Linked DNA regions of Lonchura striata. The protein of the gene in region 1 interacts with the protein of each later gene in a pairwise test. Links are inferred from orthologs where the notes say so. Each region holds a gene or a part of one and is shown on either strand. Other genes may lie near its edges.

Region 1 (7,133 bases):
ACTGGGGCTGGGGACATCTCCACATGTGTCATCAAGGTGCAGCCCAGCCCCATCAGCCACCTACACTATCTCATACAGAATACAGAGTAGTCAGTATGAAAACACATGACAGGTTCAGCCCATGAATTTAGCAAACATAAATCCCGAAAACACTTACATGCAGGCTTATCATTAAGCCTCATTGCAAAAGAACTATCTGGATGTTTAAAATCAAGCATATGCAAGCATAAATATCTACAGAATTTGAACAAAAAGAACACAAAAAGTACACTCCATAATATTATTAATTTTTACTGCTCCATAGATACCTTAACCTATCAATTATATAACTTAATACTAATATTTTAAAGCATTTTCATCTTCAAAAGGCACTAGAATTTCTAAAGGACAAACTCCACTGACCTAATAAAGCAATTAAACAGCATGCAAGTCAATGGCGTCACATTAAAAATGCTTCTGCAAACCAAATCAACAAAGAATTTCCAAATACCAGAGAAGCCACTGCCATATCAAATAGACAACCAGCTTCCTCTGGTGCCTTTTACACCAGGGAGCATTTTAACACGAAATAAATGTTGTTTTCTCATTAGTTACAGCCGTTCGTGTCTAGTAGCTCTTTAAACAAACAACATTTTGCTGATGCAAGGCAATAATTTGTATTTATTTAACATCTAGTACACATTTCACTTTGATATTGCTGGTATAACTTCTTCCCAGTTGCTTTCAAATATATTAACTTTTTTTTAGAAGTACAGAAAAATGAGATTAAATAAGAGGGGGGTATTTTGGCATATTTTCAGACATAGTTTTAACTGGTAGCTAACAAACTTCTGCTGTTTTTTCGTAATATAAATATATTACTAAAATATATATCCATAAATATATACCAAGATTGAGACCGCTCAGTATGGGTAAAGGCTTACAAAAAAAGAAACTTTCACTGAGGTGATTAGTGCTTCCATGGTAGCACATAATAAACAAATGCCAAATGTTGCAATGCCAAAGCCACCATTTTTGGCAGGACAGGTTTTAGTAAGCTTATTTTTTAACCCATCTCAGGAGAACAGTATTTTTCCACCCAATCACCTGCTTACATTCCTCTTGCAAAGTTTTGTCCCTAAACTGCCACATTTTTTATTGTTTTGGTAACAGAAAATTCAGGTGCAGTCTTAGGAAAAGGTACTACCTTTGCAAATCTCAGACCTGAGTCCAAGGCCCTGGGCTCCCTCATCCTGAAGTCACCAAGCAATGTAAAGGGTAAGTATAGTTAGAAATTCAGAACTGAAAACTCATGGCAAAATTATGAGTTTTAAGATCCATACATTTTCAAATTGCAACAGAACAAGCACTTTAAAACATAATATTATGACCTTTTTTATTTAAAAAAATCTACTTGGGCACAGTAGTGTTATTTGCAGCCTGATGACTCTGGAGTTAATAATTTTATATTGTACTGTGTTCAGGAGAGAGGATTCCTTAGATATCTGATAATTAGAAAAAAAGAATAATTATAAAGGACTCCTATTTAGTCTTACAGTTCTAGCAAGTACACTGATATAACTTGCTTCCATTTTAAGGAAATTTGTTTTAATAAAGACAGGGCAGCATATGGTACTAACATGTTTATTTTCCAAGTGGAAGGGACACTAACCAAAACCATCTGATGTTTCTTCATCTGATGTTTCTTCCTAAGCCTCCTTGAGCTGGATTGCAGCTTAGAATAAAGCATTACAAAGCCAGAAGAAGTGGGTAGAGGAATAAAAAAATGAGTAATTCAAAGTCTTTATCTAATGAGAGCACAGTTCAGACCAGTTCTTATTTTGAATATAAGTTTAAAAGTACTTATGATTGGAAATTTATTTCCAGAGACTATCAAATGTAGTCCAAAGCTAATCTGTCACAGACATTTTTTACTCTGCACACAGACAAAAACCAAACCCCTAAATCATGTAATTAAAAGAGGAATTAAAGGAAGCTCAGAAGTACTTAATAGATTTCTAGAGAAGCAAACAATCAGTACTGTGCATTATGAACACAGTAAGAAAAGTCACCAGGGACTACCAGATTCACCCCCACCAGAGCTCCAGGAACGGTTTTCTCAGTTAGTTGACCAAGTACTATGATTCCATCAAGAGCAATGGTAATTTTAAAGTACGCCTTGTTAAAAGTATAAAAGACGAAAACTTTTCTAACCACATTTTCAGTGCTAAGAGCTAACAAATGAGGGGACAAACCAGGGAGTGCGGGTCAGAGCTCCGAGGGCTAGCGTGAACGTTTGGAAACAGCTGCCAACCACACGGACTCAGCGGCATTTCGCAGGCAGCCCCGAGTTCCTCTGGCGCAGCTGTAAAACACACAACCTGAAACCCGCTCCTGCAGCAGGGGTTCGCTCGCAGCTGTTCTCTGCCTCCCCCGCACGCAGAAATCTGACTCCTCTCCAAGAAAGAGCTTCTTTAATGAAGCCACACGAGAGCAGCATAGGTGTATCGGGGGACCCAGAACCAGGCGCTTTCCAAGTGGGTCTCCAGCACCCGAGCTCACAGCTCAGCCTCGCAGAGACGCGCTGCAGGGGCCGCCGGGCTCAGCCCCGCCGCCGAGCCGGGGGCTCCAGGGCGGGGACGCTGCTCCGAGGATCCCACCTCAGCCTCAGCCACCTCAGCACGGCGGCTCCGGAGCTCTGCCCACTCCCGTACTTGTTGCCTGCGCAGAGCTCAGCCCGGCGCCGCCGCCCCCGCGGAGACCCCCGGTGCCGCTCGGCTGAAGGAGGCTGAGCGGGGCTGAGCGCCCGGCACCGCGCGGGGCAGGGGAGTTACTCACCGCGCCGGCTCCGCGCAGCGCTCTCCTCCTCAGCCGCGCCGGCTGCGCCCGCCCCGCCTTAGGGGAAGCAAACTCCGGGCAGCAGCACTTGGAGAACGTGTCTCGTCGGGCCGGGCCGGGCCGGTGCTCCCGCCTCCGCCCCCCGCCGCGGGCAGCGGCGCGGCCCAAGTGACAGCGGCGCTCCGCCACTCCGGCGGCGGCCCCGGGCGCGGGGCCGGCCGAACCGCAGCCTATGGCAGCGGGGCCGGGGCGGGACGCGCTGGAGCCCGGGGCCGGGGTGTCCCCGCCGCTCGCCTGATCGGCTGTGCGGAGCCCGGAGCGGTGGGGAGCGCGGGCGGGGCCGGCGCGGAGGAGGGGCCGGGTGGGGCGCTGCCCGCCCGGGGCTGCCCGCGGACCTGTCCCCGCCTGCCCGAGCCCTGCGGCCGCGCCCAAGGAGCAAACCCAGGGCGTCTCCGAGACTGAGAGCCCCAGCGGCGCTCCCACCCTCCCACACTCAGTCACCGCCCCGCGCCTGCTTCCCCCGCCCTGCCGGCGGGGCACGGGGGTCCTGCCCGCCAGGGAGCCCACCGCCCCGCTCTCCTTTTGGCGGGGGGCGCGACCACCGGTGCCGCAGGTGCCCGGCGGGGTGTGGCGGGGCCCGGCTCGCCCCGCCCCGGCTCCTCCCGCCGGGGTCCTCGCCGGCCCCTACGCCCGCCCCGCTGCCACGCCCCCCGGCCGACCGCGGGTGATGGCGCCGGCCTGCCCCTGAGGAGCCGCAGCGGGGAGCGGTGGGGCAGCCATGGAGGAGGACCCGGAGCTGGAGAGGTAGGGGGGAGCGACAGCGCGGGGAGCGGTCTCGAGAGCGAGCGGCCTCCACGCGGCTGCTGCGCCGCTCCGGGCCCGGCAGCGCCTCCCGCGCCGCGGGGCCCGGGCAGCGCGGGGCTGCGGCCGGCCGGCTCCCCCGGCCCGAGCGCTCCGCAGAACCGGCCCCGAGCTCCGCCGGGCTCTGCCCGCTGCCCGCAGACAGCCCCTCCTGTGGGCGTGCGGCCAGGGCGCGCCCCGAGGGCAGCGCGGCCTGGGGCTGCCTCTGCCGTGTCTTCCGCACAGAGCTTTGGGTGCGTGCTGATGTCGCTTAGAAACAGGATTGGAAGGTCTTGGATGGTTCACCCCTCATTAGCTACAATTTGATGAGTTGTGGACTTGGCAAAATAAATTTTAAAAATCCCAAAACACCTTGTGTTGTTAGAGATTTCAATTTTCAGTTGTGCCCTTTGACTAGTTGTTAGAATTGTCGTGTTCTTGTATGAGAAAAATACAAAATGGTTGGTAGTTATTTTGTCAAAAACTAAAACTGTTTTCTATTTGGCATTTCGTTGGAACCAGTGGATTTGTCTTGCTGCACGTTTTGAGTTGCAGTGCTCTCAAGCAAACACTGAGGAATAAAACATTGATTTCCATATTAGGATACTCAAAGTAGGCCTCTCTTGCTTTTGTTTTAGGAATAGACTTTTGGTGTTTATATCACAAATGTTTTGCAAAACAGTGCTATTTGTTTGATGGGAATTTGTTTTTGCAAGCTTATTTCTGGGTTGTTCATTTTCCTTACGGCTGTTTAAAACAACTGTTACAGTGAAGTGATGACCAGAAGCTTTCTGAACTGTTCTCATGGTTCTCTCCTTTAACTTTTAAGAAACCGTATCTGGGAATGCTTACCGAAAATAACTTTTTTCTATTTGTATCTGGCAGGTATTTGAAATGTGCCAAAAGCAATAGTACTGAGACAGTGGAAGGGCTAGAGCGCTTAATGCTTTCTAAGAGGCTTTTAATTCTTGCTGAGCTGTTTCTGTTCTCAGATCATTAGTTTAATAATTAAAGCTTCTTTTGGTGTATGCATGAATGTTATTTTTACTAGTGCCATTCTAAACTTAAACCTTTTTCATTCATGGCAAGTTGAAACCATGCCACTGTTCTTCCATGCTGTCTTCTGGTTGCTGCTGCCGTGCTGGGGGCCTGGGGTTCTCTGGGCAGTTCAGGGCATAGCTGACCTCACCAGCTGTAGCCAGCTGCTCCACAGCCACCTCCTGACTGATGCTCTTCTTCCCAGAAACTACATTTGAAGTTTTACCTTCCTCAAAGGCTCACTCCAAGTTAGGATTTGCTATTCCTGTTCTGTGGCAGTGTGGTAAATAATGAGGATGAAGCTCAGTGTCACTTGTCGAAGTGGCACGGTAGGGTTTAGCTGTTTGGTGTCACCAATCTGTGTCACTGTGCACCTCAGAGGGTGTTTAGTCGGCCCCAAACACATTATAACTACAGTGTAGTGCACTTGACAATTGGCTCTTCCTGTCCTCGATCCACCTATCATCAGTTACTTTTTCATACCTTAAGTTTTCATGACAGCTTACTTTGATAGTAGCACCCTGAACTGAATTCAGTTTGTGCTGTGTGCATTTAGAGGGTGTACTTTGGCACTCTAAATAGTGCTTCACTGTACAGTCTTCAGTACAGAGCCCTTCCAGTCTAACAGAGATCTTTCTTTATCCTTTGTGTTACAGATGTTATGTCTTAGATTCATACTCAATAACATACTGATCATATCATCCTGTGAATAGTGTAGTAATGGCAGTTTAGGCTTATAATTTTTAAGGGTTTTGTATTATGGGTTTAACATACAAATAATAGTGTTTCTGTTCTGTAGCCATAGTATTAATTCCTTTAGTGCATTTTTAGTGTTCAAAAATGGGTTTATGTGGAATATTTTGAGAAGTCTGTCTCTGAATCCAGGCTTGTCTTGCAATGCAGACTTAAATAAAAATTCAAGGTTTTTGTACATGTGCTTTTTATTTAATTAACCATGAGGGAGAAAGAAGCGTAATATTTTTGTGCATGCTTTTTCAGGTCAGAAATTAATTTTGTGTCCCAGTATTCCAAAAAGTGATCTGTTAAGTCAATCGCCCTATATTTTTGTTACTAAGAAGTCTTTTCTTCTAGCTTCTTTTATTTTTATCCTTACTGCCACATTTCCCAATATTATTTTTCAGTTTTACTGTTTCTGACTCTCACTTGATCTTGCTTTTGATGTTTTCCTCACTTTAATATGAAGTGAGGTTTTCCTCGAAGCTGAGTACTTATAAGTTCCTGTGTGACTGTTGCATACAGAATGCAACAGTCTGTGGGTTTTAAAACTCTAAAAGCTATAAATACCACAGATGTGTAAAACAGTAATATTTGCTACATTCTACTGAACTACATCCTCTACTCCATCTCACCCAGTAACCTCTGATGGAAGAAGTATGAACTAAGATTTTCCCCTGTGAACTTGCTGGTACATCAGTGAAGACCCTGAGCCTTAAGGTTCCATGTGATTCTTAAGAAAATTCTAAATTATGTTAGCATATGATTAATGGTATTTGAAGTTATGATGTAAGAAGGAGGTGGAAAAAGGGAATCAGCTAGTAGGAGCTGTTCACTTTCTTTCCTCTGCAAGCACCTGAAACTGCTTTTCCTAGTTTATTTCAACTAAATATACACTGAGATATTATGTAGGTCACCATTTTCATTCCTGCATAAAAAATGAAATCTTTCTTCCCCCTCTACTTCCTAAAGTATTGCCATTGTGGTTCTGTATGTTTGAAGCACAGAAGATGCGTTGTTTCTCTTCAAATACAGAGGAAGTGGCTTTGTTATACTGTGTGTCCATATCCTTCCATAATCCATTCTGTCTTTCAATAGCTATAAACATTCCACAACCTTGGATATCATACTTTATTAGAAGTACCTGCCAAGCTTATTTATAGCATCATTTACTTGGGATTAAGTGTTTCCTAAGGAGATGCTGCTCTGAGTCACAAAGAATGCTATAATTCTGTAACAAGAGGCCTCTAGTTGAGTTGAGAATCAATAATCTAATATTTTTGCTTCATAAGGCAGCCCAACTACACTTTTTGAAAAGCAAGCTTTGTGCCTTGGAGAAAATTAATGGTTCTTACTATTGATTTTAACAGTTGAAGTCAAGTGTCAGGATTAAGTATTCCTTACCCCTGGTGAAAAGGGGGGAAAAAAAGAAAAGAAAAAGTGGTATGCAAGCTAGGATTGGTGTTTGAAATGGAGTGATACGTTCACTTTGCTACTCAGACCAGTGAGAATATTAGCACAGAAATGTGCTGCAAATAACACTCACAAGACTTGGCAAGTAGAATACTTAAATAAGTACAAAACCTGATCAGCAAAGAATGAGAGCATTTCTATCCCCAGTGTGCGATGTGTTTGACTTTGAACAAATGTCAGGAAGCTTGTGGTGTATTGTGCTTCTTTTCATTCTTGCTCTTGTAGTTATG
Region 2 (7,286 bases), on another chromosome or scaffold:
ACCAACGCCTCCAAAACCGACTTTTTGCACCCAAATCAGGACTTTGATACCCAACTTCACCTTGGGGGGCTCCAAGTTTTGCATTTGAAGGCGAGATTCTACAAATGTGGGGGTTTGGGGTTAAAATGGGCTGGGGGAGAACAAAACATGAGGATAAATGAAGTGAAAAAAGGGCAATTTTGGGGTAAAAGGAATGTGGCAAAAATGGGGATTTTTGGAACGTGGAGAGAAAAATTGAGTTAAAATATTAATTTGGGTTAAAACTGGTAATTTTTGGATTTTGAATTTAAAAAGAGAGCTAAAAAATGGTGATTCTAAATAAAAATTGCAGTTTTGGCATGAGGGAAAAATATATTTTAAACCCCACAACTTAGGGCCAGAGAAGAAAAAAGGGTTTAAAAACCTTATTTTTGGAGATGGGAGAGAAAAGTGCATTAGAAATTAACAATGTGAGTTAAAAAATAAAAGAAAGATGGACTTTAAAAGGCTGATTTAGGAGATGAGAAAGGGCATTTTGGGGGTTTGAGAGTGAAAATGGGCTAAAAATTAAGTGATTTTGGGGGTGATGAGACAAATAGGTTAGGAAAAGAGCAGTTTTGGGGAATGTAGGAAAAAATGGCTCAAAAAAATTTTAATTTGGGGTAAAAATGGGTATTTTGGGCAAATTAAAAAGAAAAATTAGTTTAAAAGATCTAATTCAGAATATTCAGTATTTTTGGGTAAAAAATTTCTGCATTTTGGAGCCTTGGGAAACTCATGGTTAAAAACTACAAAGTTTGAGGAAAACCATTGGTTTGCGATTGAAATTGAGAGTTTAGTGAGAGGAATATGGATTATGGGGGGAATAGAATATTTAAAGGTAAAAGTTGCAAATTTTGGGGTGGAAAAATGCAGATTTGGGGCTAAACCGTAATTTTGGAGAGCAAATTTGACCTTTTAAATAACAATATTTTCTGTAGAATAAAAAATCTTTTTTGGACCTCAAAATCAGAATTTTGGTTCAAAACCTTCTTCTCAGTGCTAAAAAGAAAAAAAATCGCATTTTGGGGTTAAAAACTCAAATTTGAGGCGTTCTGGAGAACAAAGATTTCAGCATGGGGCTGAAAATGGAAATGTTCACTCAGGGGGCAGGAAATGCAGTCTGCAGACACAAAGAGACGGGTTTGAAGCTGAAAAGGGTAAAAAGAGGCATTCTATAAAGAAAAAAAATTAAATATGAGTCTAAAAGCAGCCATTTGGGGGCTGATTATATTCAGGGGAAAGAAGGGATTTTTGAAGCAGCAAAAATGATAAGCAGATGCGAACAATTGCAAATTCCGAGGCCTAAACAATGCTTTTTTGGTGCAAAAATCACCATTTTGTGCTTAAAAAAAGGTAAATTAAATAAAACCCATTAAATTTGGAGAAAGAGCAGTGATTTTGAGGTTAAAAAAAAAAAAAAAGCATATTCGGAAGCACAAAGCTGCGATTCTTTCCCCGACCCTCCATTTTGGGGCTGGAAACCTCCATTTTGGGGCTGGAACTCCCCATGAGCTGGAGAAAATGCCGATTTTAACCCAACATCAGCTTCTAGAAAATAAACCCAGCTCTTTTTCTCTTCAAAACTCCCTACTTTGGGGATAGAAATTTTGATTTTGGAGCGAAATGTTATTTTGTAAAACAAAGATGCTGAGCTGGAGCTCCGAAGCTCCATTTTGGGGCTGGGAAAAAAAAAATGTTTTGGTGCCAAAAAGATGCATTTCAGCAGCAGGAAAAAAACTCTAATCAATGAAAAAAAAATCACATAAATAAAAAAATTAACATTTTAGTTTGCTTTCTGAGAGTTAAATAATCCCTTTTAAAGGGTAAAAACGGCATTTCAGAGAAGGCTGATTCAAGGGAAGAAAAACATTAATTTTAAGAATGACTATTTCAATTTGAAGACCCAAAATCCACATTTAAAGAATAAAGAACTTTTCTTGTTATAAAATCGTGAAGCTTAAAAATCTTCACTTTGCGGATTAAAAAAAAAACCTAAAAACTCATTTTAGAAAAAACTGGGAACACGCCTGTTATTTAGGGACTAAAAACATTTATTGTAGGTATTAAGCCGCTTTTTTATGGGTTGAATCCTCCCATTCTCAGGTCTGACCCCTCAGGGCGTCACGCCCCGTTTGGGGGTCAAAAATCTTCATTTTGGGGCACAAAATCCACATTTTTTTGAGGTAAAATTGGACTGTTTTGCCGTGAAAATAGCGGATTTTAAGGACGAAAATACGCAGTTATGGGGTGAAAACAACCGAGTTCAGTCTGAAAAAGGGGCATGTAAAATAAGAAGTTTAAGAAAAACAAACAAATGATGTTTTAATTATGAAAAATATTATAGTGGAAATTTTAATTCTGGGGTTAAATCCTTTAATTTCAGAACTCTTCGGCGCCATTTTGGCGCCTTCCCCGCCCATCCTCGGCTAGACCCTCTGGATTTGGGGCAAAAAGCCGCATTCATAGCCAAACCTATGAAATAGTCATTTAAACCGGGAAAAAATAATGTTTTTTCCTTAAAGCACCCCAGAAAAGGCGATTTTGGAGGCGAATTGGCCGCGGTCCGGGGCCGCCGCCCTGAGCCGCCATTTTGCGGCCGCGTGTGGGGGGCGCGCGTTCGGCACCGCAAATCCTCATTTGGCAACAAAATCTCCGCATTTTCCCCCCAAATCCCCCCCACCCATCACCGCCCCCTCCCTCGCAGGCGCTTCTGCGGCGGGAAAGCGGCGATTCTGGGGTAAAATAGCCCCGCTTTGGGTCACCCTTTGTCTTGGCGCGCGGGGGTGGGGGGGCTCTTAAAGGGGCCACGCCGCCGCGGCAGCGGAGAGAGGCGGGGCCCGCCGCGCTCACCTTGGCGCCGATCTGGTTGCCGCATTGGCCCGCCTGGATGTGGACGATCTCCCTCATGGCGGCGGAGTCTGACGGGGCGGTTCGGGCCCACCCGGACGGCGCGGAGGCGCTCGGAAAACCGAATTAAAAAACGTTAAAGAGGCGGCGCGGCCCCTTTAAGAGCGGAGCAAAGGCGCGAGCGCGACAGCGGTGAAAATGGCGGCAGCCGCGGCCCCGCGCGCGCTCATATAGGACAAAGCCGCGGCTCTCATTGGTCGGTGCCGCCCGCTTTCCATCCTTCTATTGGTCAATCTCGTCGTCAATCCAGCTCTCTGCTCTCCAATTGGTCTACGGCCTCACTTCAGCCCCTCCCTGCGACGCTCCGGCGCTCCCGGAGGACCGCCCCGCCCCGTCTCTGTGGCCGGGCGATGATGGACACGCACAGCAGCCAATGGGAAGCGCGGACCGGCGTTGGCGCGCGGAAGAAGAGGCCAATGGGAGCGCTGGGGGCGGGGCCCGGCGGGGATGCCGCGGGAGGGGTGAGCGGGAGGGGTCGGGGCCGCTTTTGGGGGGCCCTGAGGGAAATTTGGGGCAATTCGGGGGGCTCTGGGCTCCGCGGGGAATCTGGGCTTTCCTGGAGGGATCTGGGGGTCTCAGCGGAGGCTGGAGCGGCCCTTGGGGAGGACTTTGGGCCTCGGGGGCGGTTTGGGGGAGTTCCCGAGGGAGACTGGGAGAGGCTCTGGCGGGGATTGGAGCTTCCTGAGCGAAGTCTGGGGGCTTGGTTTGGCAGTTTGGGGTTCCGAAGAGAAACTTTGGGGTTCCTGAGGGGATTTGGGGTTCCTGAGGGAGATCTGGGCTCTCTGAGGGGCTTTGGGGGTTCTGTGAGAGAATCTGAGGTTCCTGAGGGGGGATTGGGAGTCCCCGGGGGGGTTTTGGGCCTTTTAGGTGCAGTTTTGGGGGATCCTTGTGGCATTTTGGGTCATTTGGGCGCAGCTTGGAGAGTTTTGGGGGGTCCCTGGGTTTGTTTTGAGTCTTTTGGGGGCAGTTTGGGGAGTCCCAGGCCGGGGTTTGGGTCCTCTGGGGGCAGCTTGGGTGTCTCTGGGTGATTTTTGGGGGGTTCCTTGGAGAATTTGGGGTGTTTGGGAGGGTCCTGGGATGGTTTAGGAGGATTTGGGGGCAGTGGAAGTTCTAGGGGGTCTCTGGAACAGATTGGGGCTGTTTTGGGTCATTTTGGGGGTTCTGGGAAGGGGTTGGGGTCATTGGGGCAATTTGGGGGCATTTTGGGGGTCTCTGTGGGGGTTTTGGGGTCCCTGGGGCATTTTTGGAGGTTTCTGGTGTTCTTTGGGTCATGTTTGGGATCATTGGGGGATTTTGGGTGGTCCCAAACACCTGAAGCCCCCCCCCAACCCCTCTTTTGCAGAGCTCTTGACGATCCAGCTGTGGCCCCAGATGTTGAGGGCCCCCAAAAACACCTTCCCTACCCCCAAAACACCCCAGACGTTGTCAGGAAGGGGCCAGATCTAGATGCTGGGGACCCCGAAATGCCCAAAGTGTCCCAAAATGCCTTGGAGGCTCCAGATGTGGCAGCAGAAACTCCAAGTACAGATGTGCTGCAGGCCAAAAATGGGCACCAGATGTTGCTGGTGGACAGTGACACAGATGTCGAGGAGGAGGGGCCAAATCCAGATGTTGGGTCCCCGAAACATCTTAAAATGACCCAAAATGTGCTCGAAACTCCAGATGTGGGGCTGAAAATCCCAAATCCAGATGTTCCATGGCTTAAAAATGGGTGTGGGATGCTGCAGGTGGAGAGTGACACAGATGTGGAGGAGGAGGCTGATCCAGATGTGGAGCCCCCAGAACGACTGAAAATGACCCAAAGCGTTCCAGAAACTCCGGATGTGGTAGCAAAGACCCCAAATCCAGATGTTTCTGGCCCAAAAATGCGATGTGGGATGCAGGTGGTGGGCAGTGACACAGTTGTGGAAGAGGATCCATGTGTGCAACCCCAAAAAAGGCTCAAAGTGACCCAAAACATGCCTGGAATTCCCGATGTGGAAGTGGAGACCCCAAATCCAGCTGTGGGAACGCCCAAAACTGGACACTGGACAATGCTGGCGGACAGCAACACAGATGTGGAAGGGGAGGAGGAGAATCCAGATGTGCGGCCCCCAAAACAACTCAGGATGACCCAAAATGTGCCTGAAACACCAGATGTGGCAGCAGTGGCCCCAAATCTTGATGTTTCAGGCCCAAAACTCCGTTCCTGGATGCTGCTGGTAGACAGCGATACAGATGTGGAAGATGAAGTGAATCCAGATATGCAGCCCCCAAAAAGGCTCAGGAGGACCCAAAATGTGTCCAGAATTCCAGATGTGGATGTGGAAACCCCAAATCCAGCTGCAGAAAGGCCCAAAATTGGTCATCACACATTGGTGGTGGACAGTGACACAGATGTGGAGGAAGATGCAGATGTGCAGCCCCCAAAAAGGCTCAGGAGGACCCAGAATGTGCCTGAAACTCCAGATGTGCAATGGGGGACACCAAATCCAGATGTTTCAGGCCCCACAATCAGGTATCAGATGCTGGTGGACAGCAGTGACACAGATGTGGAGGAGGATCCATATGTTGAAACCCTAAAAAAGCTTGAAATGACCCAAAATGTGCCTGAAAGTCCAGATGTGGTGACACAGACCCCAAATCCAGATGCTGGAGTGACCAAACATGGGTGTCAGGCACTACTGGTGGACAGTGATACAGATGTGGAGGAGGAGGAAGGGAATCCAGATGTTTGTCCTTCAAAAAGATGGGAAAATCCTCAAAACATGCTCCAAACTCCAGATGTGCCCACACAGCCCCCAAATCCAGCTGTGGAGGGCTCCCAGAGGCACAGAGTGCTGCTGGATGACAGCGACACAGATGTGGAAGAGGAGGCAAAACCAGATGTTCGATGCCTAAAAAGACTAAAACCAGCCCCAAACGTGCCTGAAACTCCAGATGTGAGGCTGAAAACGCCAAATCCAGATGTTTCAGGCAGAAAAATGGGCTGTGGGACATTGCTGGTGGACAGCGAAACAGATGTGGAGGACGATGAGACAGGTCCAGATGTTCAGCCCTTAAAAAGACGGAAAATGACCCCAAATGTACCTGAATCTCCAGATGTGCCCACACCATCTCCAAATCCAGCTGTTGGAGGCTCTGAATCCAGATGTGGAGCCTTGGTGGTGGAAAGTGACACAGATGTGGAGGAGGATGAGGCTTGTCCCGATGTTTGGCCCTCAAAAAGACAGAAAATTACCCAAAATGTGCCCGAAACGCCAGATGTTGGGCTGAACCCCGCAAATCCAGATGCTGGGAGGCACCAAAGGACCCAAAATGTGGCTGAAACTCCAGATGTGGAGGAGGAAGAGGAAGGGTGGGATCCTGATGTGGCCACCCAGCTGTTCCTGCCCCCAAATCCAGATGTGGGGGAGGCTGAGGCAGATCCAGATGTTGGGAGCCCAAAACAACTCCAAATTACCCAGAAGCTACATGAAATTCCAGATACGGAGAAGGAAGAGGAGTCAGATCCAGATGTAGCCACCCAGCTGTTCCTGCCCTCTCCAGATGTTGGTAGCCCAGAAAGCCCCAAAATGGCCCCAAAGGACCCCAAAATCCCAGATGTGGAGGGGCTGCCCTCCTTGGAACCAGATGTGGCCACGCAGATGTTCCTGCCCCCACATCCAGATGTGGGGGTTGGCCCAAATCCAGATGTTCTGGGTCCAAAACAACACAAAGTGGCCTCAAATGAACCCAAAACTCCTGATGTGAGGGCGGAGAACCCAGATCCAGATGTGGAGGAGGACTTGGATGTGGCCACCCAGCTGTTTCTGCCCCCTGATCCAGATGTGGAGGGGGAAGGACCCTCAGATCCAGATACTGGGTCCCCAAAACCACTCAAAAGTCCCCTAAACTCGCCTGAAGTTCCAGATGTGGATTTGGAGAGCCTGAATCCAGATGTGGAGGAGTCACTGAGGAGCCACAGGACATTACTGGGGGATGCTGATCCAGATGTGGAGCAGGCAGACCCAAATCCAGATGTGGCAGCCTCAAAAAGACCCCAAACGGCCCCAAAAGTCCCCAGAATTCCAGATGTGGAGGTGGACACCCCAAATCCAGATGTGGAGGAGCTGGGGAGCCCTGACCTCGATCCAGATGTGGCCACTCAGCTGTTCCTGCCCCCCAACCCAGTTGTGGGATGCCCAGAAAGCCCCAAAACAGCCCCGGAGGAATCCCAAATTCCAAATGTGGAGCAAGAGGCCCCAAATCCAGATGTTGGGGATCCCCCAAGCCCCACCCAGGAGGAAGCAGAAGCTCCACTCACCCTGCAGGTGAATTTGGGGGGGTTCCAGGTGATTTTGGGGGTCTCCGGTCAATTCCGGGTGCTCCAAAGGGAT

Evidence for each region. The genes of interacting proteins can lie anywhere in the genome.
Region 2: the proteins of LNX2 (region 1) and tubulin beta chain interact in a two-hybrid assay, tested with the Homo sapiens proteins (3 studies listed by BioGRID and IntAct). The link is inferred for Lonchura striata from reciprocal best matches to the Homo sapiens genes LNX2 and TUBB.

Annotation. Positions count from the first base shown.
Region 1 is NC_134604.1:69,173,240-69,180,372, reverse strand, and holds the start of LNX2 (ligand of Numb protein X 2), read right to left. Parts: upstream 3,008-7,133; 5' UTR 2,818-3,007; intron 1-2,817. Other genes in the region: protein POLR1D, read left to right, coding at 3,596-3,621.
Region 2 is NC_134631.1:1,344,514-1,351,799, reverse strand, and holds the start of tubulin beta chain, read right to left. Parts: upstream 3,086-7,286; 5' UTR 2,929-3,085; coding exon 2,872-2,928; intron 1-2,871. Other genes in the region: MDC1 (mediator of DNA damage checkpoint protein 1), read left to right, coding at 3,376-3,389, 4,271-7,220. UniProt on the Homo sapiens protein: Tubulin is the major constituent of microtubules, a cylinder consisting of laterally associated linear protofilaments composed of alpha- and beta-tubulin heterodimers.